Linked DNA regions of Callithrix jacchus. The protein of the gene in region 2 binds, or shares a complex with, the protein of the main gene of each other region. Links are inferred from orthologs where the notes say so. Each region holds a gene or a part of one and is shown on either strand. Other genes may lie near its edges. The genes, in order: THBD, F2 and F2RL2.

Region 1 (10,137 bases), on a different chromosome or scaffold from region 2:
ACTTGAATCCCAGCTTATCCAGAAATGTACCTTAGCTTTCTTGCCCTGGCCTCTTGTGCTGTGAAATGCCACAGCAACTGGTCTCTGGGAGTCTCCCTCAGACCTGTATGTCCGATGATGTGAACGGAAAGCAGAGACTGCACAGGTGGATCCCCTGGCTCTGGTTTCATAAAGTCTACACTGACTGTACATGCGGGTGGATAGTTTTTAAAGCTAACTGATGTGAAGTGTGTATGCGGTCCTGGTGTCTTTCTCTGAGAGGCACTGTGGCTATTTAGCTATTTTGAGAATCCCAAGTTCAGAGGAGATTGTAAACAGAACCACTGATAGCTCAGGCAGCAGGAAGTGAGGCGGACAGGGAAGCTCAGGGCCCCAAACAACTAATGTCCTAGGTTTTTGCTCTCAGGACATGAAGGGTTTTTGCCTCTGGGTTTTGGTCTTCCAGTGTCCCTTAAGAAAAGGCCCCTCTTCTGGAATAAGAAGAAATCCTAACGCTGTGAGCCCTTGCAAGTCAATGTGACAGTGACTGGGAGCTGACCCTCTTGAAAAATAGAAGGCTGGGAGCAAATTGTAAGGTGTCACTGTCTCCTCTGTTCTCCCAGCAACTGTCCTGTCCCCGCTTGTGTAACTCTTCCTTCACAAAGACCGTCTACTCCTTAGGGGGAGCTTGGCTCAGCTTGCTATCTCCATAGGGCACTGTGCATGGCAGCTGCCCCAGCACACACACACACACACACACACACACACACACACACACACACTCACGTCATCACTGCATCTGTGATGGATGTCAAAATCTCCAACCCTGTTTTCACAATAACCACTCAAACAGAAACTCACAAATTTGGCTTTATCCAGACATATAAAGCACTTGAATGTTTGCCTGGGCTTTACTTTCTCTTAATTTTTTCTTTAAAAACTCTTTCCGAGCCCTGCATATTGCATTCAGCCAGCCCTACCATCCTAGGAAAGTGAGCCCAAGAAATGTATGCTGTGAAAAGGCACTGTTTTTCATCTCCAACAGAGCTGGGAATGATTTCATTCCTTTAGAAATGAATACTTGAATTAGAGCCACCAGTCGACATCCTTCATGACTGCATTGAATTTGGATATCTCACAGAGCAGATAATGCCAAACCATACACAGGACACACAGCTGGGATTCGCCAGATGCCCCAGGAAGGGTTTATTTAATTCATTCCAACAAATGATCCTGTAATGTACTAAAAAGCACAGAAAACAAGTCCTCATATATGAAGTTGTTATGGTTACGGAAGGAAATAAATAAATATTTGTGCATACGGAGATCAGTGAAAGTAGTAGTAGCCTCTGGAAAGAGCTTTGAAAATCAGAGAGGGTGCCATCCTCAGACAACAGGAGCGCTGGGGTGCAGGGAAAAAGAATTCACGTGTCTCACAGCATTTGCATGGTTTAAACTGAGGGGACTGGGGGAGGAAAACTGAACAGACACACAACCCAAGAGTACACTGTATTTGTTTATTTTGTACAAGTGACATCATAAGCAAGGGCTTTGCCTGTGTTCTAGTTTATCTCCAACAAATAAATAACTATGTACAAATATGTTGAGTCTACAAAATAGAAGATGAAAATCTTTGTCTTACAAAAGATACATTTCTATGATACATTTGTTTCCATCCACTGAAGCAGGTTTTCACTCCTGGCTTAAGACCTTGCAGATCCTGTGTGGCAGTGTCTAGAGCTGTGTACCTAGTCTTTTCTACCAGAGAACAAAGCTACACAATAAAAATTCCTCAGTTTCTTGAAAATAAGGGCCTGACTTGGCCTGCTAGTTATAACTGATCCCTATTTAATGTATTCCAGAAAACTGGAAGCAGACTGGAACCATTGACCTCAAATTACTGAGCAGACTCATCCCCTGCTGATCTTGTTAAATATAGATTCTCATGAACTAGATGGGGTGGGGCCTAGGATTCTGCATCTCTAACCAGCTCCCATGGCAGCCTCCAATTCTTGTTCAGGGGCCACATTCCAAAAGGCCCCTCTGAAATGGTAGAAATTTTCTGAGGACCTGATTAAGGCTGAGCCCTGATTGGGCATCCTCCAGGATCTATTCCCAAGGTCCCTTCCAAAAGACCAGTAGAGCTGGTTTTATTTAGGTCTACCAATGACAAGGACAGTGAGAGACAATTACCAACTGGCATGAATCATGAAGCTCAAAACTTTCTTAAACTGGCTGCTGGAAGGTGCCTGTCTCTCCTCTCAATCCAGAGCAACCTTCTGAACATTTTCAACACTGTCAAAGTAATAATAACAAAAAAAGAAACTGCATAAGAAAATTAGCAACAATTACCATTTTCAGTACAAATCAAAGCAACCACAAAGTTCAGGCTCACTGTTTAAAAAAATAAAGATAAAAATATCTTTGGGTGTAATTTCTATGACAGTCCAGCAACATTAATTCAATGCATTTTACATCTCAACCTTTGCTTAAAATTATTTTGCGCTGAGAACCTGAAATTTCAGGATAAATTAGCAAATCTGGTGAAAAAGCAAAGGGCCATTGTTATTTTGAGTGTTTTTGTTTCTGTTCATGTAGGAGTTTCTGTCTGAGCAGGCAGGTAAGGGCAAAAGAAATAGGGTCAGGCACAGGTCAGGCAGGGCGACTCAGGTGAGCCGGCCCAGTTCCTGAGAGGAGGAAACTAGGAAGAATGGCGAAGAAATGGAGCTTGCTTCATAAATGTGAGAGGGCCAGGAAAAAGAATTCACTAAGATAGTTTATCTGCCACATGAGAAGTGGGAGTTTGTAGAGCGAGATGGGAGAGGTATGCAAAGTGGATACCGGAGACATACAGGTAGGAAAAAAGGAAACAAACAGAAGCCTAAATACTTTTAAAAAATAAATATTTTGCTCATCCCTAGCCCACGAGGTCAAGGTCTGCCCAAAGGGCCGCCAGGCAATAACGCTCACCCTCCTGCGCCCAGTGGTGAGGAGCTGCGACACTTCTTTGCCTTCGTCGTAAAATCGTCATGTCTGCCCAGTGGTCCAGTGACGTCATGGAAGAGGCTGAGGCTCATTCTCCTCCTTCTAATCGGCCTCTCCCCGTTTAGGCATGGAATCAGAGAACACAGCTTGGTGGGGGCGGGGCGGGCCTTCTCCAGCTGTAATCCAGCTAGGGTGCTCTGGGTAGCGGTGGAGTACAGCTGAGGGCGAGGAGGCACAGGAGCGAGAGAAAGCCCACGCCAAAGCCGGGCTCCTGGACGGAGGTCGCTCAGAGTCCCTAAGGCGTCTGCTCGGTCCGCACGTGCTGCAGCACTACCTCCTTGGAGGGGGCCGCGCACTTGTACTCCATCTTGGCCCTGGTGGCGCCCTGCTTCTTGCGCTGGTGGCGTAGGAGGGCCAAAAGCGCCACCACCAGGGACAGGCTGGCAATAGAGATGCCTATGAGCACGCCCGAATGCACGCGCCCGGCGGCCGGGGGATTGGAGGTGGAGCCCGGCGTCGGGCTGACCGGAGGCTCTCCAGAGCCGCCGTCGCCTCCGTCCACCTTGTCGGTGTCACAGTCGGTGCCAATCTGGACAGTAAGGGCCGAGTCGGTCCCGCAGATGCACTCGTAGGTACCCAGGAGGTTGCGGCATTCCCCGGAGCAGAAGCCGCCGTTCTCGCACTCGTCGATGTCGGTGCACATGAAACCTTCGTCCAGGATGTAGCCTTCAGGACACTCACAGTTAGACTTGGTGTTGGGGTCGCAGTCGGCTGGACAGGCAGTCTGGTTGCAAAACATCTGGCACCTGTGCGGCTGCTGGGGCACCGGCGCGAAGCCTTCGGCGCAGATGCAGCGGTAGCTAGTTTGGCCTAAGGGCTGGCACTGGTACTCGCAGTTGGTTCCAAAGCACGGGTCCACGGGCTCCACGCACTCGCCGTCCACCAGGTCGTAGCCAGGGTAGCAGTGGCATTCGAAGCCACCCTGAGTGTTGACACAGCGCTGCGGGCACAGATTGGACTCCAGCATGCAGTCATCCACGTCCACGCACCGGTGCAGGTCGTCTGCCAGCTGGTAGCCGGTCTCGCACATGCACGAATAGGAGCCCGGCTTGTCCGGGTTTCGAACGCAGAAGTGCTCGCAGAGGTCTTCGCAGGACTGCTTCGCGGGTGCGGTGCAGGAGCGCCCGTCTGCCTGCAGGGCGGCGCCGACTGGGCAGAGGCAGCGGGGAGCCCCAGCGCTCGCATTGCACGCGTGCTCGCAGCCGCCGTTCTCCACGCTGCAGTCCCAAGCGCCGGGCGCATCCCTAGTCCAGTGTCCCTGGACCTCCCCAGGCGGTGCGGCGCACTCCAGCTCCAAGCCTAGGGGCGCCACCGAGGCGGAGCTGCCCACCGGCAGCGCCTGAAAGTCCGCTCCGCGGGCCGCGAAAGGGGTGCCATAGGTGATCCGGACGGCTGCAGCCGCGGCGCCGGGCTCCACCACCAGGGGCCTGCAGGTGGCTGGGAAGTGGAACTCGCAGAGGAAGCCATCGGCCTTCACATCACACGGCTGCTCCTCCCAGACCGGCTCGCCGGGGACAGGGGCCCCAGCAGCAGAGACCGAGACGCACAACGGGCCGCAGAGGGGAGCCCCATTGAGGTAGAGCTCCGCCCACCTGCTGTAGCTGGTGTGGTTGTCTCCCGTAACCCACTGGAAGCCGCGCAGGGGCCCGAGGCTGTTGGGGTCGCCGCAGCCTGGTGGCAGCTGCAGGCCGATCCAGAGGCGCGGGCCAACCTCGCCGTCACCACTCAATAGCAAGGAAATGACATCGGCAGCCACTGAGGAGCGCACTGTCATTAGGTGGCCCTGCAGTCTAACGCAGATCTGGCTGGCAGCGAGGAAGGTCGTGGGGCCCGGGTAGAGCGCGAAGCAATCGTGTTCGACGCACTGGCTGCCACCGGGCTGTGGCTCTGCGGGTGCGGGGAGCCCCAGGCCGGCCAGAGCCAGCACGCCAAGGAGGATGGCCCCGAGCATGTTACCCAGACGCGCCGAGTGCAGGCGCTGTGAAAAGCGCAGGCACTGAGACCGGGCCGGGCCGGAGCAGAGGGGCGCAGGACGCCGCTGGTGACAGCCTCTCCTGACCGTCTCAGTCCAGACCCTTCTGGCCGCGGCGCGCAGCCCCTGCTAGACAGCCTCTGACATTCGGATCGGCCGGGGCTCGAGTTTATAAGTGCGCGGCCCTCCCTCCCTGGACGTTCGGGAAAAGGAAGGAAGTGCCTGGTGGGAAGGGCTGAGGCCGCATACTCGGATTGCTGGGTTCTCCGGCCGCCCTGAGCCCGCCCTCGCGCATGGGATCACCTCGCCGGGATGAGTAAACCCGGCTCTGGAGCAGGGAGGTTCTCGGGCGGGGCCGACAGGGGCAGGCGCCAGGAAAGGCCAGCACCCCTGTAGCCAGACGACTGTCCCCGCCCCCACCACGCTGGCCCCCACGCGTGCAGCCCTCCTTCATCTCTTGGACTTCCTTCCTTTCTTTTCATATATGTTGCCGTCACATCCAAGGAAAGCCCGCATTGCAGAGCTCTGGGAATCGGAGACGTCAGCGAAGAGGGCTTGGAATGGGGCGTGGGGGAGATGGTGCACGAAACCTGCAGGACACTGGGAGGGGTGACCCGCACGAAGGGGACTTTGGGAGGGACTGTCTAGGACGTGGACTTCCCCAAAGACAGGCTCGCAAGGAGAGACAGCTGGATCCCGTCCCCTGCCAGGGTGCCTGGCTCAGGGAACCGGCGGAGCGCTTGGCCTCAGAGGACAGTGGGTGTGGCTGGGGTGACGGGACAGGGCGGGGAAGACTGGCCTGACAGCAGCGCCCTCTGCCCCATGGTTGGCCAGGGGGACCCGCGAGTCCCTGGGCAACCCCATCTCGTCACGTGAGGAAGGCGCGGGGACACTATCACGGCTCCTGAGGTCCTGACCTCGCTCAGAGGCCGTGGCAGGTGAATTGCTGCGGCGCGGGGTAAGAGCGGGCGCGTGGGAGCGAAGCAGCCGGGCCGGTTTCCGTCCAGCTTCCGAGGGACGGCGCATCTCGCACCCCAACAGGGTGGCTGGCAGCCCCTCGGGGAGGCGCTGCGGGCTTCCCGCGGGTCCCACTCATGTCAGCAAAGAAAGTTTCCATTTGGTCCAGCGGCCGCATTGATACCGAGATGCACAGAAATGCCACTTGCTTGGCAAAGGGCACTGAGGAGACACGGTCCCGTGGATGGGCGCGGTGAGGAGGGCTGGAGGAGGAGATAGGAACCTGTGGCTTTCGACCTCGTCCGGTAGTTCCCTGACTGGGAATGCGGAGGAGTGGGCCACCTCCTCCGGTCGCCCCCATAACAGTGAGAGGCAAAAGGTTCAAAGACACCCTTGCGTCTCTCCTCCACCGTCCTCACAACGAGCGCCAGGCGGCGGCGCTGTCGAGCTCTAAACAAAGCCAAGGAAGTTGGAGAAGTTTCGGGCTAAAAAGGGTTAAGGTCTGGGAGCGCAGAGGCCTCCCCCTGGGGTAGGAAGCTCCGTACCCCGGCAGCCCCTTGTGGATTCCGCGGCGTTTACCTCTTGCCTCCAGGGTCTCGTAGATTCCGGACATTAAACGAGAACAGAGAGTATGGAGCCTGCACGTGCGAAAGACACGCACCGGGGGGGTGGGCCGGGCTGGACTGGACTGACCCGCCGTGACCAAGTGGGTGGAGCGTGGACACTCCGAAAGCGAAAGGGCTGTCCCACCCCACACCCTCCAGCGCCTTGGGGCAGAGCCTTCCGGAAACGGAGGAGCTGCTGGACACACAGGGGTCTGAAGCTCCCGGAATGCGCACAGCTGCACCTCACCTGACCCGGACCCCTGGGAAGTAGAAGGGAAGGGCAGCAGACAGGACAGCAGAGCTGTCCCCGGCGGGAGCAGGCAGTCGGTGGCTGTCTCGGCTGAATCAATGGTCGTGACTCCGGTGTACAGCCTGCCGACGCGGGACCCAGAAGCAGGGCTGCCTGGGGTGCCGCCATGGGGTTGAGGGTGAAGCTTCAGACAGGGGCAGGAACCTCTTGGGGACACTGCTGAAGGGTCTGAATGTGGGGACGATTCACGGAGTGGATGAGACAAAAGAGGGGACAGGATCCGTTATGGAATCAGAGACCAGTGCAAAGTGAAAATGTAGGGTCCTTTGTTCAATTACAAGGATTTCAAGACTGTGACAGCAAAGCATTAAACAAGACATGGGGCCCTGGGGGGTGATCAGCAGGTCCCTTCTGAGCCTGCCAGCCCTGAAAGGGACTGAGGGACATTAAAGGGTCAGGTCTCACCCCACATACCAGGATGTTTGCATTCTTGGATGGGATTCTAGCTGATGTACCACCACCATGTTTCACTGGACGATCTGTGCGGGTCTGCCTGCACCCATTACTGATTCTTGCAAAGAAAAAAGAAAAGAAAAGGAAAGTGTGAGAACAGCCCCAGTGACTGAGTCCACTGAGAACTCAGTGATGTCTGTGAACCTTGGATCAACCTATATGAGGAGGTGCAGATTTTGGATGTTTCTATATTAGAAAGAAGCTAGAGCAACAACAGTTGGAAGCAGAGCACTGTCCCCATGGGTGGTACCAGTGTCTGGGTTGCCCTGTAGAAGGATGAGTGGGCATGACCCATTTGGCTTTCCCACCCATCAGGGCTTTACCACTGGTGCTCAGGATACCTTTGCCTTCCAGGACCTGCCCTCAGCAGCTTCATTTTTCCTCTTCAGACAGTACCTTGGAGGTTTTTCACATTTTAAACCACCTTGTGGTGAATGAAGGTCCCCTGTCTCTGTTCTTGCCCCACCCCTATCTTCCTATCTGTGCCACCTGCACACCCGGGCGTGCCGCTCCCTCCTATCTCTTTGCAGATGACACTTTCACTTCCCACTCCTTAACCCAGTTCCCGGCTCAGCACCCTCACTGTGGGTCACCAGCAAAGACTTGTTTTACTCCTGAAACAGCTTCCTTGAAGGACACCATCAGGTCCTAAATACTGTGGCCGAAATCTTGTTTTCGGCCATCCTTCAAGAAACCTTGGTGCCATTTGCACTTGTGACCCTTCACCATTCTCAAGGCTCCTCTTCCAATCACTTTTGAGACACGTATTTTCCTCCCCTCCTGTCCTATGAGCTTGCGGAGGCCCCTGGCATCCTCTTGCCCCACCCACTGGAGCAGCTGTTCTCAAGGTTCTGCTGGTGGTCTTCATCATCTATCGCTACAACCCACCTTTTGGTGAACTTACCCATTCCCTTGGCAGTGGTAGCAGTGTCCAAGGAGATTGAGGGGAGCGTGTTCCAAAAGGGACCCCTACCCCATCTTTCCCAGTTCCGATAGTTGGTCTACTGAGGTTTGACTTTCTACTCTCCTCATCCTCTGTCCAGTTTTCGTGTCTTGTTTCTCCTGATCACTGCTCCTGCCTTCTCAATTTGTGTTGAGACAGTTGGGTCCCCAGCTCTTTTCCTTGCTTCTTTTCTCTCCACTGTGGCTGAGGCCACTCTGATCCTCATACTCCCTCAGAGTGCTCCCGCCTACCGGGAGATCCCATGCTCTTTCCCCTCCACACCGAAGAAGATGCTCGCAACAGTGCCTCTACTCTGTGGCCACAGATGAGGAAATTTGCACTCAAGGGGCTGTGCTGGGATTTGGACCCAGAGCCTGCACCCCTTCCACCTCACAAGGCTTCAAGGACCCTTGTCTTACTGGTCTCCATGAATGTGGAAACATCCTGGCAAGAGAGGCTCCTGCTCGCTGTCAGAGAAGCACCATGTCCGCTCACCACCACCTGTGTCTCTTCCTCTGCCATCAGCATTCTCATCTCTGCCCGAATCTTCACCCACTGAAATCTTTCCCTTCTCTCAAGTCCCAGTTCAAGCTTCCCATCAGCAGGTGCTTCTGCTTAAGCAAACCAGAACTGATCTGTCTGTGACTTCCCATAGACAGGACATTCCTTAGTACTCACCACTCCCTCCTTGCTCTGTACCTAATCATGCTTCTACCACACGGTTTGCTGCACGTGGAGTCCCGATTCCCACACATCTTACTATCCCCTTACACGTAACAGCACACTGTAACTAGACCATGCCCGGGACTTATCGGAGCACCTGTGGTGGATGTTTCTTTGTCCTCTCCAGGGTGATTTTCTCACATTCACCTGCAAAGACAAGGGTGGAGGTCCTCCAATCTCAGGGTTAATTAAAAGGGTGGACTTCGGAGCCAACTTGGCTGCCTTGGAGAACCAGCTCTGGCATTCACAAGTTTTTGTTTGTTTGTTTTAAGATTTGACTAATAACCCCGCCCCTCTGTGCCTCAGTTTCCTCAACTGTGTAATGGGAATAGTCCCTCCTTCAAAGTGTTAGGATGAAGACTAAATGGGTCATACATGTAAAGCACTTAGAATGGAGGAGACACAGTCAACTCTTAACAAATTTTAACAAAAAAGAAAACAAGTTCCTAGAATTTGGATTTGGCGTCTGATTGTATTCAGCCTCCAGTATGTTTTGTTGACCATGATAGAGACTCACCAAATGTCTGTTGGATTAAATTTGCTCCAGCCAAGCATTTCTACCGCTAATAACAATAAGTAATTGTGAAAAAATCAGGGACGGAGGCATAGGGAAGAACCTGAAGCAGGTCCTGTCTCCCTGCCCTTCCCATCTGCCCTGGAGACATCCACAGTGACTGTCCTCCTTGCCTCAGGTGTGGAAGCTGAAGGCCAGAGAGAATCAGTGACTCTCCACACAGTCAGTACGTGGTGAAACAAGGCTTCACCATCCTTACGTGATAAGGATGAAAAACGACTGACTACACTGTGGAGTACGTCTGAGTCCCTGTTTTGTCACATACCAGCTGACTTGGCTAAGTTATTTCACTCTCTGGTGTTCTTTCCCTAAAACTGGAGAGATAATATCTAATATGTAGCATTAGTGTAAAATCAAAGCAGAAAATGTACATACAGTGACTATTACTTTTCTTGGAACACAGCAGCTGCTTAACAAATACAGTTGTTACTACCAGTAAAAAAGCTTTAACAAGGCTCCTGTGGTCACTGGTATCCATCCAGGAAGTCTGGGTTTTTATTTATTTATTGACTGATTGATTGAGTTTTGAGACAGAGTCTCAAAATCTGTAGCCCAGGCCAGAGTGCAGTAGTTTAA
Region 2 (10,398 bases):
GCCTGAGTCTGTGTTTTTATAGGGCACAGCAGGAAGCTTGCTGGGATCACTAAGATGTTCACCTGGAGAGTAGGTCAATTTCTGCAAGCCTGAAACTTATTTATCATCAGTGTGTGTGTGTGTGTGTGTGTGTGTGCATATGGGAGTTGGGGGGTAAATGGTAGCCTTTTTCGTTAGGATGAACTTGCTATAAATCCAATCGCAGGAGCCAGGCGGTGACTCATTCCTGGCTTTGGGAGCCCAAGACGGGCGGATCACCTGAGGTCAGGAGTTTGAGACCAGCCTGACCAACATGGAGAAACCCTCTCTCTACTAAATATACAAAAAATTAGCCAGGCGTGGTGGCGTGTGCCTATAGTCCCAGCTACATGGGAGGCTGAGGCAGGAGAATTGCTTGTACCCAGGAGGGGGAGGTTGCAGTGAGACAAGATTGTGCCATTGCACTCCAGCCTGGATGACAGAGTGAGACTGTTTCAAAAAGAAAAAAAAACTGACCCCAGGAACAAGCAATGGGCCCAACAGGGATGCTTAGAAAACAAAGAACACGAACGCATGTTTGTGGACTGGTAACCAGCACTAATTCTTTACCCCTGCCTGCATCCCCATCCGTTGCTGTGATTTCACAGGCTGAGGTGTAGTTCAATTCTCGACTCTGGCCTTGAACATAGACTTCTGGTCAGTGGAACGCGGGCGGGGCTGACTGTACCTGTTCGGAGCCTAGGTCTTCAGAACAGATGACCTTTCCTGTTTGTTGTTTTCTGTGTCTGCCATCAGCTAAGAAAAGTCTTCCCAGTTACCTGCTGTCTTTTTGTCTCAGCCCCAGCAAGAACACACGTGGAGCAGATCTAGGCCCAACCCTCAATGAGGAGCCAGGCTCAGCTGGAACCATTGTTTGAATCAGAGCCACCCAGCCATGGCCAGCCTCCGTGAATTGACCCTACGGATTCGTCAGCGAGTGCAGCTGAGATCAGCAGCACCACGCCCGCCAACTCTCAGGGCACGAGGCTTGCTCTGTGATACTCAGAACAGAGCATGTGGACTGAAGTGGCTAGGGAGGGCTTCTTGGAGGGAGGAGTGCCTTGATCAGAAAGGAGGCATGTTTGGAATGAGCCACGGCCTGGACCATCAGGAAGTCAAGAGTGGGGAGGGGAAGAAGGAAGCTGGCAGATCTCTGATTCCCTGACTTCACTGTGCAATAGACATAGATATGATATGAATGACTGAGGCCAGCTCTGAAGGTAGCTGGCATCTTTTTTTTTTTTTAAGGAGTTTCATTCTTGTTGCTCAGACTTAAGTGCAGTGGCATGATCTCAGCTCACTGCAACCTCTGCCTTCCAGGTTCAAGTGATTCTCCTGCCTCAGCCTCCTGAGTAGCTGGGATTACAGGTGCCTACCACCACACCTGGCTAGTTTTGTATTTTTAGTAGAGATAGGGTTTTGTCATGTTGGCCAAGCTGGTCTCGAACTCCTGACCTCAGGTGATCTGCCAACCTCAGTCTCCCAAAGTGTTAGGATTACAGGCATGAGCCACTGCACCCAGGTAGCCAGGCATCTTGGTTGCCATCCCAGGCTGCCAGGCCCCAGGAAGCCCCCGGGCCTTGGCTGTGGGCTGCCTCATTGCCCCCAGCTCACCACAGACAGGGATGCTGCATTCCTCCCTCCGCACGGTGGGGTCGGTTGTGTAGCACCAAGGTCCCATGGTGCTGCTGTCAGGGTTGCGGCAGAAATTCTCCTGCAGGTCGGTCTCGGGATGGGTGGTGGTGTTGATTCTGGAACAGGAAATTTCCCAGTAGGAGGCTATGGCCCACGGGGTGTCCCTGCTCCCTGTTCTCAGCCCTTGGTGGGAAGGCCGGCTCATCACTCACTCAGGCTTATGTGGGTAGCGACTCCTCCATAGCTGGCACTCGATGCCTGATGCGGTGACGTTCACATGCCCTCGGTAGTTCGTACCCAGACCCTCCGCACAGTTACCTGTGGGGACCCCACCCCGGTCAGCCTTGGAGCCTGGGGACTTATTTCCTCTCTCCCAGCAAAGTTGTGTCTGTCCCTGCCTCCAAGCTCACAGTGGTCCACAATCCTTAACCTGCATTCACCCAGCTCCTCTTCCTCTCCATCCTGCAGTTCTCCCATTCACTCAACAGTGGCCTCCAAGTATTTGCTGAGTGCTCACCATGTGACAGGCACTGTTGGGTGCTCAGCACGACAAATAGGACAGTTACAGCCCTGCCCTCAGGGAACTTCCATTCAGTGGCTTCTCTTGGCCAGCGGGATGAAAAAGTGACCAAGGTCCTTTTCATCTGGCCCCGGTCTACCTGTCCCTGCTAGCTTGGCTCCTCGTGCCTCTGGGTCTTTCCACGGGCTTTTTCTGCCCGGAATGCCCTCTTGTTTGTTCATCTGGGCATCCCCCCAGGCCAGGCAGAACTCTGCCTCTCCTGGGAAGCTGTCTCTCATTCTTCTGGCAAACCAGACACTCATTTTCCTGTGTTCTCTCGGTGCCTTGAACAGAACTTTTGTTGCAATCACTTTATTTGTTTATGTATTTATTTATTTGTTGTTGTTTTAGAGACGGAGTCTTGCTCTGTCACTCAGGCTGGAACTCAGTGGCACAATCTTGGCTTACTGCAACCTCTGCCTCCTGGGTTCAAGCAATTCTCCCACCTCAGCCTTCTAAGTAGCTGGGATTACAAGCGTGTGTCACCACCCCCTGCTAATTTTTTGTATTTTAATAGAGACGGGGTTTCATCATGTTGCCCAGGCTGGTCTCAAACTCCTGACCTCATGATCCGCCCATCTCGGCCTCCCAAAGTGCTGGGATTACAGGTGTGAGCCACCGCATGCAGCCTGTGTTTTCATTTTTATTTATTTTTTTAGAGATGGAGTCCTGCTTTGTTGCTCAGGCTGGAGTGCAGTGGCGTGATCTCGGCTCACTGTAACCTCTGCCTCCAGGGTTCAAGTGATTCTCCCCTCTCAGCCTTTCCAGGAGCTGGGATTACAGGTGCATGCCACCACACCCCGGCTAATTTTTGTATTTTTAGTAGAGGCGGGGTTTCACCATGTTGGCCAGGCTCTTCTCAAACTCCTGGTCTCAAGCGATCCACCCACCTTGGCCTCCCAAAGTGCTGGGATTAGAGGCTTGAGCCCCTGTGCCCAGCCGCAATCACTTGAACGTTTTATATTTTTTGTTCTCTTTTGAGATTTTGAATTCCTTGAAGGCAGAAATGGTATTTGATTCTCTTAAAATCCCCAGCACCTGATACAGAGCCTGGCACGTAGCGGGAACTTTGTAAAATGTCAGTTGAGTATGTAATTTGACAAATGAAAGTACAGCAGCTGGATGCGGTGGCTCACACCTGTAATCCTACCACTTTGAGAGGTCGAGATGGGAGAATCACCTGAGCCCAGGAGTTCAAGACCAGCCTGGGCAACACAGGGAGACTCTGTCTCTGAAAAATAAATAAATAAATAATAAAGAGCTACAAGTCACAGAACCTGTTGTGCTAAAGGTGCATTCAGAAGACGGTACAGGAGGGAGGGTGCTCCCTGGGGTCTCAGCAAATGTGATGACATTTGAAGCAGTTCTTGATGGATAGGAAAATGTTCAGTGTAGGTGGTGATGGTTGCTTCAGAGGAAACTGACAACATATGCAAGGGCCAGGTGCTAGAAACACCATGGTGCACGCAGGGAAGTCCCTGGTGTCAGAGAAGCTGGGGGCTTGGGTCCCTGTTTGGTGCAATGACACCTAAAGCTAGAAGGGGATGTGACATCATCAGAGCTCTGACTAGGCAGGTGCAGAGACTCGGGTCAGGCAAAGGAGAATGAAGCCTTAAACGTGAATTCATTAATCCATTCATTCATTTGTTCCTCCAACATGTTGAACCCAGGAATGAGAGTGATGTCAGATGCTGGAGATGGCCTCAGACTCCGCCGGCCACACTCCAAGCCCACCCGTGAGCTCCTCTGCTCCCAGGCTCCCCTCCGTGTCCTGCCCCTCAACCCCATGTCAATTGCTCACCTTCCAGACATGCAACGAGCTTCTCTCGAGGCGTCCTCACCAACTCACAAGCTGGAAAAGACCCAGGTGTTTACCTTTGGGACTAGGGTATGGCTGGGATGGGCTGGATTCAAGGGTGGATGAGATGATGTGGAGAAACAGAGAGATGGAGGGACAGAAGGGAGGGAGGAAGGAAGGAGTGGGGAATGGGGGGATGGGTGGCTGGCTGGGTGCAGCGGAAGATTCTCTGGGTGGAATTATCTCACCGGGGTCCCCAGGCCTCCCTTCCTGGGGCAAATCCTTCCCAGTGCTCACCTTTATACTTGGTCCAGAATACATCCTGAAAAACAAGGGCTGGGAGTGAGGCTACAGCGGCTCCTGTTTGTTTTAGTAAACATTATGTCTCCTCCTGATACTTTGCTTTACCCTAGTCACGCAGCGGACAGGCTCTGGGAGGTTTGTGGCAGAGCTTCCTACTTTTGTTTCCAAAGGAAGAAGAATATTTGAGGATAGGGGAGTTCCTCCAGCACACACACCGAAACTGAACAGTGCTGGGGGAGAGGGGAGGAAAGGGGACTGCAGGACCCTGGCAGAGCCCTACAGGCAGGGAAGGCGACACAGGGTTCCAGGAGCACTGAGTCTTGAGTCTGGGGCTCGTGGTGGCCTCCCCAGAGTCCCACCCCTCAATGGTGGCACAGGAAGCTGCCGCTGAGGAGGCCACGTGGACCCGGGCCAGGGTAGATGGATGTCTGAAGACTGAGGAGGACTCCCTCATGTCATGGGGCTGCACAGGACCCCGGAACCTTGACACAGTACAGGCACACGGACCCCCAAGAAAAGCTGAGGCTGCTCCTCTTGCCAGCCCCGGGAAGAGGGACTTAGAGTTGAAATGAGGCAGTGAGCAGCAAAGGGGCTCTGGCGTTCCTTGCTCGCCTCTCTGTGGAAGTGTCTAGAGTTGGGCCCGCTCTGAGGCCCCGGGCCCGTCCGAGCAGCCCAGGCTCACCGTGTCTGTGCGTGACTCCAGAGCCTCGAAGGCCTCCTCGTAGCTGCAAATTTCCTCTATGCACTCTCGCTCCAGGTTGCCCTGACGCATCTCCTCCAGGAAGCCGCTGTTGGCTCGCCGGGCCCGCGGGAGCAGCGACAGCGCTTGCTGAGGGGCCAGGAACACTGCAGGGGGGCGGGGGGTGTCATGGAACAGCGGCCTCAGGAGCAGGCTGTCTTGGCCATTGTAGAGGCAAGAAGCCTGCCCTGCCATGCTGGCTTCTGAGAGGGGCTGTCTGGGCTGGTGGAAGTATCTGGAAGGCTGCTAACTGTGGCCCCCTGTGCCCTCCTACACTGCCCCTTGCCCCCAACCTACTCCCCATATTGGAAGAGAGAAGCAGCCATTCTCAGGCCCTGAACTCCCGACTTCTTCCTTCCGGTGGCCGCCTGGGGCTGAGACCTACCTTGGGACCAGCGCTGTGTGCTCTGTCCAGTCAGGAGACCCCAGCCCATGGGCCCACACCCCAATCCTCCAGTCTGTCCCAGCCTGCAAGCACCCCCTTACCATGCTGGCTGTGCACAAGGCTACACAGGGCAGCCAGGGCCAGGCAGCCAGGCAGCTGCAGGCCTCGGACGTGCGCCATAGTGCGGCGGCTCCTGGGTCACTGAGTGATTGTCCATCCTGACCCCTCTGGGTTAATGTTGAACTAACATGAAGAAATCAGTGGAGAGGGTGAGATCAGAGGGTCAGGGCCATGGGGACAAGTTGGTAGATAGTCCTCCTGTCCACCCCCACCATCCGAGAGGACAGATCCTCCTGGGACCAGGGATGGATGGTCAGGAGAGTCACAAAAAAATGTCACACATCATCTCCCACCCTCCCTCTCTGAGTCTCAAGCCAACTCTGACCAGTTGAGCTTTGAGACATTCCTGGAGCTCCTTCCAATCCTAACATACAGTGGTGGTTGATTTTAATCTCTGCGTGCCTCAGTTTCCTCATCTATACAATGGAATAATACCTTTTTATTTTTTGAGACAGATTTTCTCTCTTGTTGCCCAGGCTGGAGTGCAGTGGCATAATCTCAGCTCACCACAACCTTCACCTCCCAGGTTCAAGTGATTCTCCTAACTCAGCCTCCCAAGTAGCTGGGATTGCAGGCATGTGCCACAACACCCGGCCTATTTTGTATTTTTAGTAGAGATGGGGTTTCTCCATGTTGGTCAGGCTGGTCTTGAACTCCTGACCTCAGGTGATCCACCCACCTTGGCCTCCCAAAGTGCTGGGATTACAGGTGTGAGCCACCACACCTGGCCGGGAATAATACTTTGTTGCGAGGACTAAAGGAGATTAGGAATGAAAAACCCATGGAATATCATAACCTCTTAGTAATCAGTAGGTCTGTGCATATAAGCCAATGTGGAGGTTTGTGTAATTACAATACACAGATATCAAAAATAGAGACAAAGATAAAAGGTGTGGCCTGATGGAACTTACTTCTGGACCTAGGATGCACCAGGGACAGTGCCCCAGCCTCTCAGCCACTGGAGGAGGGGCCTATTTTCCTCTTTCCCATCCAGGGCACCTGGATGGAGTGTGTTTGTGTGTGGCAGCTGCCTGGGAGGAGGAGTCAGGTCCAGGGATTCTTGGGCCTTTGGTCTATCCTCTGTCACTTCCCAAGACCTGCACCTGTCCCGGAACAGGAGCTAGTCCAAATCTGGGTCTCCACTACAGGGCCCTCCCTCTCCCTGCCTGCCTGCCCCAGACTAGGCCTAGCGAGGCTTCTGGTCCTACCCTGCCCTCCTCCGCTCAGCGCTACTCCTGTCCCTCCTCCATTCCCTGTTTGCTGTACAAAAGGCAAATATTAGTCCTGGGTCTAAGTAGGACAGAGGGACAAAGAGCAGGAACACCAGGAGGCACAAGTTCTCGCCTCACCTGCCCTTTGGGCCTGGCTGTTGGGGGTCTGGACCAGGTCATGCACGGTGTGGGAAGAGGGAGCGCTGGCAGAAAACTAGAGACCAGGACTCCCACAAAGACCTTAATTCCTGGGAGGCCCATTTCTTAATATTTTTTTTAGGCCAGGCACAGTGGCTCACACCTGTAATCCCAACACTTGGGGAGGCCAACATGGCAGGATTGCTTGAGGCCAGGAGTTTGAGAACAGCCTGGGCAACATAGCGAGACTCTCATCTCTACCAAAAAAAAAACTGAAAAATTAGCTGGGAATGGTGATGCACGCCTGATGTCCGAGGCAGGAGGATCATTTAAGCCTGGGAGTTCCAAGCTGCAGCGAGCTATGATTGCACTACTGCACTCTAGCCTGGGTAATGGAGTGAGACCGTGATTCTTTTTTTTGAGATGGAGTTTCGCTGTTGTTACCCAGACTGGAGTGCAACGGCATGATCTCGGCTCACCGCAACCTCCACCTCCTGAGTTCAAGCAATTCTCCTGCCTCAGGCTCCCGAGTAGCTGGGATTACAGGCACGCGCCACCATGCACAGCTAATTTTTGTGTTTTTAGTAGAGACGGGGTTTCCCCTTGTTGACCAGGATGGTCTCGATCTCTTGACCTCGTGATCCACCCACCTCAGCCTCTCAAAGTGCTGGGATTATAGGCGTGAGCCACTGTGCCCGACCCGATTCTTTTTTTTTTTTTTTTGACATAGAGTCTCGCTCTCTCGCCCAGGCTCAAGTACAGTGGAAGAATCTCGGCTCACTGCAACTTTCATCTTGCTTGTTCAAGTAATTCTCCTGCCTCAGCCTCCCAACTAGCTGGGATTATTTTTGTATTTTTCGTAGAGACAGGGTTTTGCCACATTGACCAGGCTGGTCTCAAACTCCTGACCTCAGGTGATCCACCCACCTTGGCCTCCCAAAGTGCTGGAATTACAGGCATGAGGCACCGTGCCTGGCCTGCTCAACATGTTTCTAAGATTCGTGCATGCTGTCGGTGTCAGGAGTTCCTTTCTTCTAATGCTTTGTGGTCTGTCACTGAATGAACATAGCACATTTTATGTGCTGTTCACCTGTTGATGGGGGTTTGGATATGTTTTCAGTTTGGGGTTATTGTGAAGAGTGCTTCTATGAATATTCTTGTACAAATCTTCAGGGGTAAATAAGCACTTATTTCTGTTGGGTATATGCCTAGGAGTGGATTTTCTGGGTCATAATATAAGTGTATGTTTGTTTGTTTGTTTGAGATGGAGTCTCACGCTATTGCCCAGGCTGGAGTGCAGTGGTGCCATCTCGGCTCACTGAAACCTCCACCTCCTGGATTCAAGCGAGTCTCTTGCTTCAGCCCCTGAGTAGGGGTTATAGGCATGGACCACCACGCCTGGCTAATTTTTGTTGTTTTTTTTTTGTTTTTTTTGAGACGGAGTTTCGCTCTTGTTACCCAGGCTGGAGTACAATGGTGCGATGTCAGCTCACTGCAACCTCCGCCTCCTGGGTTCAGGCAATTCTCCTGCCTCAGCCTCCTGAGTAGCTGGGATTACAGGCACGCACCACCATGCCCAGCTAATTTTTTGTATTTTCAGTAGAGACGGGGTTTCACCATGTTGACCAGGATGGTGTCGATCTCTTGACCTCATGATCCACCCGCCTCGGCCTCCCAAAGTGCTGGGATTACAGGCGTGAGCCACCGCGCCTGGACCTTAATTTTTGTATTTTTAGTAACGATGGGGTTTCACCATGTTGGCCAGGCTGGTCTCAAACTCCTGACCTCATGATCTGCCCACCTGGGTCACCTATAATCCCAGCTACTCGGGAGGCTGAGGCCTAGGCCACCTATAATTCTAGCTATTCGGGAAGCTGAGGCATGAGAATTGCTTGACCCCAGGAGGCAAAGGGTGCAGTGAGCTGAAATTGAGTCACTGCACTGCAGCCTGGGCTACAGAGTGAGGCTCTGTTAAAAAAAAAAAAAAAGAGAGAGAGAGAGAGCACTGGTTTAGGAGTCCCGTGCTTGGTATCACCATCTGTAACATCAGGATTATAACATCATTCACCTCACAAAGGTATTGTTGAAAAAATTAAATAAGTTTGAGATAACACTGGCCTTTCTGCAGACTTATTTTTTTTTTTTGAGATGGAGTCTCACTCTGTTGCCCAGGCTGGAGTGCAGTGGCTCACCCCATCACCACGCCCAGCTATTTTTTGTATTTTTAGTAGAGATGGAGTTTCACCATGTTGGCCAGGCTGATCTTGAACCCCTGACCTCAGGTGATCCATCCGCCATGGCCTCCCAAAGTGCTGGGATCATAGGCATGAGCCACTGCTCGTGGCCTCTTTGCAGACTTTTACTCACAGTTGTAGGCCTGCTGAGTATATGACATTCTTATGCCCATACATGGCTATCTTAGCATGGGCTGCTATAAAATTTACTGTAGGCCACATCTGTTATCCCAGCACTTTGGGAGGCCAAGGCAAGTTAATCACGAAGTCATTGGTTTGAGACCTTGAGACCAGCCTGTCCAACATGGTGAAACCATGTCTCTACTAAAAATGCAAAAATTAATTGGGCATGGTGGCATGCACCTGTAATCCCAGCTATCAGGAGGCTGAGGCAGGAAAATTGCTTGAACCAAAGAGGTGAGGTTGCAGTAAGCTGAGATTGCACCACTGCCTTCCAGCCTGGGTGATAGAGCAAGGCTTTACCTAAAAAAAAAAAAAAAAAAAAAAAAAAAAATGTTCTCAGGAGGCTGAGGCAGGAGAATTGCCTGAACCCAGGAGGCGGAGGTTGCAGTGAGCCGAGATCCCGCCATTGCACTCCAGCCTGGGTAACAAGAGCGAAACTCCGTCTCAAAAAAAAAAATGTTCTGTGAAAGAAATTAGTGATCCAAGGGAAAAAAATGTACGGTAAACTGGGTGATTTAAACAATAGACATCTGCAAGGGGTCTTCAAACAGTTCATGGAAAATATGTATTATGAAAAAAACTGCGTGGATTAACATTTTTTGAACCATAATAAACTCATACTATCTTGCTACGACATGAGTGAACAGGATGTAGTTTGAGGCACTAACAAAGATAAGGCATCAGTTTGAAGTAAGCCTCTATCAGAGCAAGATGAAATCTGCTAAAATGGAAGCAAGAGCAAACAATGTTACGGTGAAGCTTGGGTGGAACAATGGTGGAGTCATTCATGCTTTATGAAAAGTTTATGGAGACAATGTCCCAAGGAAATCAGCAGCTTACAAATAGCCAACTCATTTTAAGAACAGACAAGAGAGCCGTGTGTGGTGGCTCATGCCTGTAATCCCAACACTTTGGGAGGCCGAGGCGGGTGGATCACTTGAGGACAGGAGTTCAAGACCACCCCGGCCAACATGGAGACACCCCATCTCTACTAAAAATATAAAAATTAGCTGGGCGTGGTGGCATGTGCCTGGAATCCCAGCTATTTGGGAGGCTGAAACAGGAGGATTGCTTG
Region 3 (8,832 bases), on a different chromosome or scaffold from region 2:
AAATACAAAATTAGCAGGTGTGGTGGTACACACCTATAATCCCAGCTACTTGGGAGGTTGAGGCACAAGAGTCTCTTGAACCAAGAAGGTAGAGGTTGCAGCGAGCAGAGATCACACCATTGCACTCCTAGCCTGGTCAACATAGCAAGGCTCTGTCTCAAAAATAAATAAAATAAAATAAAAGTTTCTAAAAGGTAATTAATCCTGAGACTACAGCTCAGGTCTCTCTGATTCAGAAACATTATAATTATGTATTAAGACAGATGGGAAAAGATGTTTATTGCAGCTTTGTTTGCAATAACAAAACACCAAAACCAACCTAAATGTTGTTAAGCAAAAGAATCATGCTGTGATGTGGATATAAATGGAGTACAGACTTGTATGTGTATTGTGGGGAGGGGCACACACACTCTTATATGTGTCTAAAGTATTTCTGGAGGGAGGATACCTTTTGGAAGGTGATCTAGAAGGCTAGTATAGATGGGTGATTTCTTTTTCACTCTGTTTTTGTACTGCTTGGATTTTTAAATTTTTTAAGGAGTGTATATATTACATAATTACTGTTGCTAAACTCTTAAAAAGCATTGTAAATCCTGTCCTCACTACTCCATTGCCTCACTGAAGGTAGAGGAAGGTAACCCCCATGGTGTGCCCTCTGCACTGCCAGCCTTCTGACCAGAAGGGTGGTGGCATTTCCTGACCCTCTGAACTTTGCCAAGTGCCCCCAGTCACATCAGTCTTTCTCATTTAAGCCTCATACCAGCTGTGGAATGGGTGCTGTCTCATCTGATGTGAATGAGCCTGAGGCTTGGGGCGAATGCCTGGCCAAGGTATAGCCAGTGAGGGGTAGAGTGAAGACTCACCCAAGTCTGGTGTCCGCACACCCCAGGAGGAGGAGAGTGGGCTTCTACCTTGCTGCTTCCACTTAGGTGTCTGTGACCATGGCACATGATAAACTTAAAAGCAAAACAAAGTTATTTGCTTTGAAGACAGACATCATTCAAATCCTGGCTTTGCCACAGATTAGTTATACAACCTTGGTCAAGTCACCAAATCTCTCTATTTTTCCACGTATAAAATTGGAATAATAGTACCTGTCTTAAAGAATTATGGTAAGGGTTCAATGCAAATATACAATATGTAAGTATATATCAATATATAACTATATGTACTAATAATTAAGACTATGTGCACATGTGTGTGTAGCTATAGCATTTAGCATGGAGCCTGGCACCAAAAAAAGGACTTAAATAATGTTAAATAATGTAGCTAGTATTATTATGGGCACCTATGGCTGCCTCCCAAGTAAGAGGTGAGTGATGTCAATATCTCAAGGATTTTTTTTTTTTTGAGATGGAGTCTTGCTCAGTTGCCCAGGGTGGAGTGCAATGGCACCATCTCAGCTCACTGCACCCGCTGCCTCCCAGGTTCAACTGATTGTCCTGTCTCAGCCTCCTGAGTAGCAGGGATTACAGGCACATGCCATCATGCTCAACTAATTTTTGTATTTTTGTAGAGACAGGGTTTCACCATGTTGGCCAGGCTGGTCTTAACTCCTGACCTCAGGTGATCTGCCTGCCTCGGCCTCCCAAAGTGCTGGGATTACAGGTGTGAGCCACCGCACCTGGCCTCAAGGTCCTTACTAGACATAGGGTCTGCTCTGTTCACACATCAAAGTCGGGGTCTTCTGAGAACAAACAGAGACACAGATCTGTCTTCGAGGTGAGCCTGACTCCACAAACCCAAGGCCTTTCCATAGGCAGGCAGTATAGGTCTCCTCTAGACTGGGCATTCCAATCTAGATTGAGATGGAACTCCACAGGAGTCCTTTGAAAGAAGCCTTTGAGTGCCCACACCATGCCAGCTCTGTGTCAGGCACCCTTTCTAGGTGTAGAAGGTATAGCTTGCATGGTATGATGAGAACATTAATATGGAGCCTAGGGATCTGGGTTCTAGTTCAGGCATTATACCACTTTTAGCCTATATAATTAGGGGTTTTGAAATATACTGACAGTTGCTAACAGATTTAAAACACTGCACATCTGTGCAATAAATCATATTTGATTAAATTCCTGTTTTTAAGCAAAGTTTTCTTTCTCTGTTTCTTGATTTCTCAGCCTGTTCTTTTTCTCTGGAAAAATCTAATTCTATTGTTCGGCAGTGTCTTTATGTTTGTTTTTAACCTCTGCTTTTTTTTTGGTTTTTTGGAGATGGGATCTTGCTATGTTGCCCAGACTGGTCTCAAACTCCTGGGCTCAAGTGATCCTCACACCTCAGCCTCTCAAAAAGCTGGAATTATAGGCACAAGCCACCACATTCAGCATCCTCTACTATTTTATCCTGGAAGTTTCCAGTTGTGTGTTTATAATGGTATTTCTGTTCCTTGGCCTTCGCAAGGTCTGGCCTTGGAAAATAGGAGGAGAAAATTATATTGCTGACACTATCAGTATAAGTAAAATTTGTGGCAAAGCATATAGCTATTAATGGTCACAATGGGTAATATCTTCATAGAATGGATGCTCAGTTTTATCAAAGACTGAGGACAGTGATGGAAGTTGGTGAGGATTTTTGGTTCTCTTTAGCAGTATTTCAAGTATAACTTTGTGTAGCCTTCAAATTCCTTTTGCCTCTTAGAAAAAGACTTGAATAAATTAGCAGAGTAGAACACTTTTTCTATGTCTGTTCACTGGGTTGTGTGCTATTTTACAATTGAAGGCTTTGCTTGTGAATGTTAAGGATTATACCCTACCAAAAAGTTCTGTTTTGCTCCTTGTATATACCATAAAAATTGTGTGCTTTTAACAAATACTACTGTGTTTTTTTCCCTAGGTAAAACTGTATTATAATTGATGACTTAATTTTCAGAAGTCAGTTCCTTTCATTGAAGTTTTTATCATCTTGAAACTTACTTTAGATTTGTTTTTCATTCTCACTTTAGTGTTTACCTGATTTTTGCTCTTTGCATAACCACACACATAAAGGGTCTTCATGTGGACCCTTCTTACCTTAGTCCAATGAAATAAAAAACTCTACACATTTAAAAATATGCATTTAAAATTGTTTTTTATTGTTTTGTTGGTCATTACAAAATGTACACTCAAGGCAGATTCCTACAGACTTGTAAATTCATCTCAGCAATCCTTTATGCTTAAAGTTTCCTCAACCCCATTTATATTCACTACTACCATTCATTCATCGCCACTAGTATCTTCCCTCCTGTCTAATCACTGAGTTAAGGGAAAAATGGTCATTTACTTACTGTAATATAATGGGTTTTAACAACAAAATTCCATTTCCCCATTAAAAGCTATGCTTAAGAAAAAAAAATAGTGGAGGCGTTATTTTAAACTTCTAAATGGCCTGTGAGTATAGTCTTAGTTTAGCTTCCTTACTTTTTTATATACTCAACCTGAAATGATACCATCCCATGTCATCACAGTATGTTGCTTTTTCAGTATGAAGTCAATGGGCTTTTTAGCTGCTTTGAGATTTTTTAAATTCATTCGGCCACACAGAACGCAAAGCATAGAGCTGGGCCCCACAGAGACTTGGGCCTGGCATCACCCAGAAGTTCAAGGAAGGGAGAGGATGAGCACCTTCTCCATTATCCATGGTGTTTGATTGTTCATGGAATTAAAAAATTTAAATATAAATGAACTATATATAGATGCCATAATAAAAAGTGTGCAAAAGTGCTTTGGAAGTACAGATAAGAAAGATGACAATGCTGGCCTGAGAATCAGGGAAGAATGGTTCTTCGAGGACTTCAGAAATGGACAGAATTAAGGCAAAGATGTCAGGACTAGCTTTTCAGTCTGAGGCAACATGGAGAAATAGCAGAGCAAGAGGTTTGGTTGGTGCCTACTCATCACAAGCAAGATTTAACGGGAAGTTGGATTAGCAAGTTAGCCTTGAATGCCAGGCTAAAGATTTATGATTTATTATAGAAGCAGTGGAGTTAGTAGAGGTGTTTTAGTACTGATATCCAAGGAAGATTAATCTGGCGGGACCTGTGAAATGGAGCGTAGGCTGGCAGTGGAGAGAATGGTTAGAAGGCAGAGGTGGGCTGGGCATGGTGGCTCATGTCTGTAGTCCCAGCACTTTGAAAGGCTGAGATGGGAAGATCGCTTGAGACCAGAAGTTCAAGACCAGCCTGGGAAACAATGAGACCCCATCTCTGCAAAAGATAAAAAATAAAATTCATTGGGTATGTTGGTGCATGCCTGTAGTCCTAGCTACTTGGGAGGCTGAGGCAGGAGGATTGCTTGAGTCCAGGAGTTGAAGGCTGAAGAGAGCTATGATCACTGCACTTCAGCCAGGTAACAAAGTGAGACCCTGTCTCTATTTAAAAAGAAAGAAAGAAAAAAGAAGGTAAAGGTGGAGCTAGATAAAGGATCATGGTGAGGGACCCTGCAAAGATAGAGCCAGTTGATGAGGCAGCCATCAGCATGAGAGTCAAAAGAGACCAAAGAATAAAAAATGATGTCATATTTCAAGGATGGCAGTACCACTCACAGAAATAGGGAAGATGGAGATTTAAAGAGCTTAAAGTTACAATAAGGTAAATGGAAATGTCGTTTTCCATAAAGAGTTGTGATATCTTTTCTCCTGTATTAACATTTTTAAAATACTGATAAAGTGTTTTTAAAAATGACTAATGCTGGTCGGCGTGGTGGCTCACGCCTCTAATCTCAGCACTTTGGGAGGCCAAGGCAGGCGATCACTTGAGGTCAGGAGTTAGAGAGCAGCCTGGCCAACATGATGACACCCTGTCTCTAATAAAAATACAAAAATTAGCTGGGCATGTATGTCGGTAATCCCAGCTACTTGGGAGGCTGACCCAGGAGGCAGAGATTGCCATGTGCCAAGATAGCACCACTGCACTTAGTCTGGGCAACAGAGGAGACTCAGTCTAAAAGAAAATTTTTTTACTGATGCTTTTGTAATGTTTGACCTTTGAAGCATATTTCTTAGGAGCTCAGAAATGGAGCTTCTTGCACTATGCATATGTTGTCCATGAAAACAGATGTCTGTGAAAACAAACATTCTCTGTGATGGCTGTCCTTTTTCTCTAAGATGGTTTCAGCATTTCGTAAGGTAAGCAGTGGAGTGATTACTGATTTTTGACATGAGAAAATAAAGGAATGGATCTAAGCAACTATTCAGGCTGCCCAGGCACAAAGCTATGAGATATATAAAATAGAAGCCATCAGTATTGTTGTTGTAGTAGTTGGCATGGTGAATAATAAGTATAATATTGCTTGGAGCAAAACAAATGGTAAAAATCGCAAGGATGAGGAGAGTCACTTTAACATACCACAGCCATCTATGATCATATGCATTAAGTGTCCGGATGATGGCTGTGTAGCAGTAGATGATAACCACAAATGGAATTAAGAATCCAAAGAACGCCAAGGAGATGAAGTAGTAGAGTTGGAAGGGAGACGAGGACTCACATGTGTTGTGAACATCATGGCAGGTGGTGATGTCTGGCTGAACAAGATAATATTCCTGCTTCAGGATGAAAAATGGCAACATATATAAGAAAACTATTGCCCACACCAGTCCACATGTTAGCAAGGCATAGGTGTGCTTGGGCAGTCCCCGGTAGGTGAAAGGATGGACGATGGCCAGATAGCGGCTGATACTGATGCAGGCAAGGAGCAGAATGGAGCAGTACATGTTGCCATAGAAGATGACCGTGGTGGCCCGGCACAGGACCTCTCCAAATACCCAGTTGTTCCCATTAAGATGGTAAGCTATCTTAAAGGGCAATGTGATACAAAAAAGAAAATCTGCAATGGCCAGGTTGGTGTAGAATACGGTCGTACAGATGGATCTGGTCCTGAAGACAAGCATCCACAGGGTCACAGCGTTGGCTGGCACACCAACTACAAACACCAGAAGGTAGATGGCAGGTATCAGTTTGGTACTTAAGGAGCTGGTGAGGTACCCCATAGTAGCATTTTTCACGTGGAGATGTGAAGCACTTTCTTCAGGGCACTTAATTCTTACAGTAATGGTGGGTCCTGTCCAGCCTTCTAAGGCAGAAGAGGGGAACTCTTCAAAAGATTCTGGGGGAGCTCCACGAAAGGTCTTAACAGATAAGATTGGCTTTGCCAAGTTGTTTGTATCATTTTCCATGCCTGTAATTGAAAGGAAGTATTCACATATATTTATGATTCAAGAGAAAAGAAAACAATGTGTTTCATGCTGTGTAATTTCTGTGATTATAGAATTTAAGATCATTTTTATTTTTAAAAATCATAGATTAGGCACTCAACAAGCATATACTTAATACATGTCATATGCTCCAGGACAACACTATCTCATGCAGAAACAAAAACTAAATGATCGCTCATTGTGTGTAAGGCGTTTATAATACTGCTGGAAGAAACAAAAATAGCACATTGGAACATTATAGGCATGTTGACCATACAGGCATTCAGACAATACTTAATAGATTCAGGTGTTTGAGCAAAATGTCAAGGAAAAGATGAACTTGAGCAAAGACGAGCAAGTTTCATAAAAAGATGAAATTTAATGAGTAAGATTCTGCCAATGATGAATGGGCAGCAGCATAGTATGGGCTAGTAGAGGATCTGGGAATGCCAGATAAGTTGATTTAGCAAATTGTTATTGTACACTTACATGTCAGTGGTGTAAAGTTTTAAATAAACTCCATTTCTATCTGTAAGTAACTCTACTAGTGGAGAAGATGTATAAAAATGCATTGTCTCATGCTAATAAGGTGCAGCTGAGAAAGGAAATTGAAAGAGTGGGTGACAGCTAAATTAATGGAGGGCCTCTAAACTGTCCTAAGAAATCATGCCTGTTCATAGATGCTGGGGTTGCACACACAATTTTGAACACAGGAGTGACCATTGTGTTAGGCAGCATAACAACTCCCCAAAGATTCTACCTGCTAATTCCTGAAACCTACGAGTATGTTCCTTTACCTAGCAAAAGGGGCTTTGCAGATGTAATTTAATTAAGGATCTTAAATTGAGGTTTTCCTGGATCGCCTAGGTGGGCCCAATATAATCATAAGAGTCCATATAAGGGGAAGGTAAAGGCTTTAAGTTAGAGATTTGAAGATGCTATGCTGCTGGCTTTGAAGATGGAAGAAAGGGTAATAAGCCAAGGAATGCAGGCAGCTTCTAGAAGCTGAAAAAAGCAAGATAGCAGATTCTCTCCTAGAGCCTCCAGAATGAACACAACTCCACCAACAGTCTTGATTTTGACCTCTGATCTCCAGAAATACAAGATAATCTGTTGTTTTAAGCCACTCAATTTGTGATAATTTGATATAGCAGCAATAGGAAACTAATATAGCCATGATTTTGACTTGTTTTTAAGATGACTTAGGTGACAGCATAGAGAATAGATTGAAAAGGTAAGAAATTAGAGGCAAGGGGGCCTGATTTGGAGGCTACTGTCATCCATAGCTTAGTGAGTTGCTGAGCTAGAGCATTGGTCATGGAAAGGCAACAGCAAACACCTGAGACTCTGATGGTGGCTCAGAGGGACTTGGTGACTGATTGGCTTTGGGGTACAGTGAGGGAGGGGCAGGAGGCAATACCGACTCAGGTTTCTCTCTAGATGTCTTGGAGGGAGAGGATGCCATTAATTGAGTCCGAGGAAGAGACAAGGGGGCAGGATGGAGGGGAAGCTACAGTCTGTTTTTAGTCTTACTGAGGATGAATTGCTTGTGGAATATTAGTATGTGAAATGTCCAGCAACTGGTTAGAAGACTGTATGTGGGTCCAAAATTCCAGGAGCCCAAATTAGAGGCATGGTTTACTAGTTTAATTTAGTGGGAGTGGTTGAGATGGCCTAGGGAGAGTTCTGAGAAAAAAGAATCCAAAGGTGGATTTTAGGGGAAATGACAGATTTTAAGAGAAGAGGAAACAAAGGAGGGAAAATCAGAAGATGAAATCGGTATGAGGACCTAAGAAGTTGGAAATAAACTTTTTTAAAGATGGAAACACATCAACTATCTGCTATAATTATTTGGTGTTACTTGGCACGTTGATGTTAATAATCCTAATTCCTACAATTTCAAAAACAAAATCTTGAAGCTCAAACCTGAAGATTTATTAGTATGTAATTTATTTGTAAATCTTTCACATGTATAGAAAATAGACTAAGATTTCTGATGTTACCTTTAAGATGGACTTTTATGCAAATTTATATGGACATATTATATTTTATGCCAAATATATTATATTTCAATTTATATCCAGTACTGTGCCTGTTGCGTTTTGTCCCAAGGCCTCAGAATTCCTCCTCATTGAATACTTGAAGTTAGTGTTTAGTAACCTGTTTTTCATTCAGAGCCAGTTTCTCTTCCTGCTTTAATCTCTAGCAGTTAGCTCCGGGATGAAATGGAAACCTCCTGCATAATCCTGAGATTGCACAAGCTGAATTCACTGTGTACAATAGGTGTGGCCTGATAACTTCCAGTATGAAGGTGATCAGGTGTCATTTAAGAAAAGATAGATTAGACGGGCGTCGTGGCTCATGCCTGTAATCCCAGCACTTTGGGAGGCCGAGGTGGGTGGATCACAAGGTCAAGAGATCGAGACCATCCTGGTCAACATGGTGAAACCCCGTCTCTACTAAAAATACAAAAATTAGCTGGGCATGGTGGCGCGTGCCTGTAATCCCAGCTACTCAGGAGGCAGAGGCAGGAGAATTGCCTGAACCCAGGAGGCGGAGGTTGCGGTGAGCCGAGATCGTGCCATTGGACTCCAGTCTGGGTAACAAGAGCGAAACTCCGTCTCAAAAAAAAAAAGAAAAGAAAAGAAAAATGTGGGAGGCAGCATTCCT

Evidence for each region.
Region 1: the proteins of F2 (region 2) and THBD are in contact, whole or in part, in a crystal structure (PDB 1DX5), measured with the Homo sapiens proteins. The link is inferred for Callithrix jacchus from reciprocal best matches to the Homo sapiens genes F2 and THBD. Residues at the interface, in NP_000497.1 of Homo sapiens: Phe382, Ser385, Pro386, Gln387, Leu423, Arg425, Thr432, Arg433, Tyr434, Arg436, Asn437, Glu439, Lys440, Ile441, Met443, Lys470; in NP_000352.1 of Homo sapiens: Ser424, Cys425, Glu426, Cys427, Tyr431, Ile432, Leu433, Asp434, Asp435, Thr440, Asp441, Ile442, Asp443, Glu446, Asn447, Gly449, Phe450, Asp479.
Region 3: the proteins of F2 (region 2) and F2RL2 are in contact, whole or in part, in a crystal structure (PDB 2PUX), measured with the Mus musculus proteins. The link is inferred for Callithrix jacchus from reciprocal best matches to the Homo sapiens genes F2 and F2RL2. Residues at the interface, in NP_034298.1 of Mus musculus: Phe379, Gln384, Glu385, Leu386, Leu420, Arg422, Arg428, Thr429, Arg430, Tyr431, Arg433, Lys437, Ile438, Ser439, Met440, Lys467, Pro470; in NP_034300.3 of Mus musculus: Thr46, Phe47, Glu48, Glu49, Phe50, Pro51, Asp54, Ile55, Glu56.

Annotation. Positions count from the first base shown.
Region 1 is NC_133506.1:30,077,122-30,087,258, forward strand, and holds THBD (thrombomodulin), read right to left. Parts: upstream 5,142-10,137; 5' UTR 4,976-5,141; coding exon 3,260-4,975; 3' UTR 1,483-3,259; downstream 1-1,482. UniProt on the Homo sapiens protein: Endothelial cell receptor that plays a critical role in regulating several physiological processes including hemostasis, coagulation, fibrinolysis, inflammation, and angiogenesis.
Region 2 is NC_133511.1:111,764,307-111,774,704, reverse strand, and holds the start of F2 (prothrombin), read right to left. Parts: upstream 5,645-10,398; 5' UTR 5,618-5,644; coding exon 5,539-5,617; intron 5,160-5,538; coding exon 4,996-5,159; intron 4,333-4,995; coding exon 4,308-4,332; intron 4,065-4,307; coding exon 4,014-4,064; intron 1,972-4,013; coding exon 1,866-1,971; intron 1,770-1,865; coding exon 1,633-1,769; intron 1-1,632. UniProt on the Homo sapiens protein: Thrombin, which cleaves bonds after Arg and Lys, converts fibrinogen to fibrin and activates factors V, VII, VIII, XIII, and, in complex with thrombomodulin, protein C. Functions in blood homeostasis, inflammation and wound healing.
Region 3 is NC_133503.1:134,425,749-134,434,580, reverse strand, and holds the end of F2RL2 (proteinase-activated receptor 3), read right to left. Parts: intron 6,147-8,832; coding exon 5,083-6,146; 3' UTR 3,047-5,082; downstream 1-3,046. UniProt on the Homo sapiens protein: Receptor for activated thrombin coupled to G proteins that stimulate phosphoinositide hydrolysis.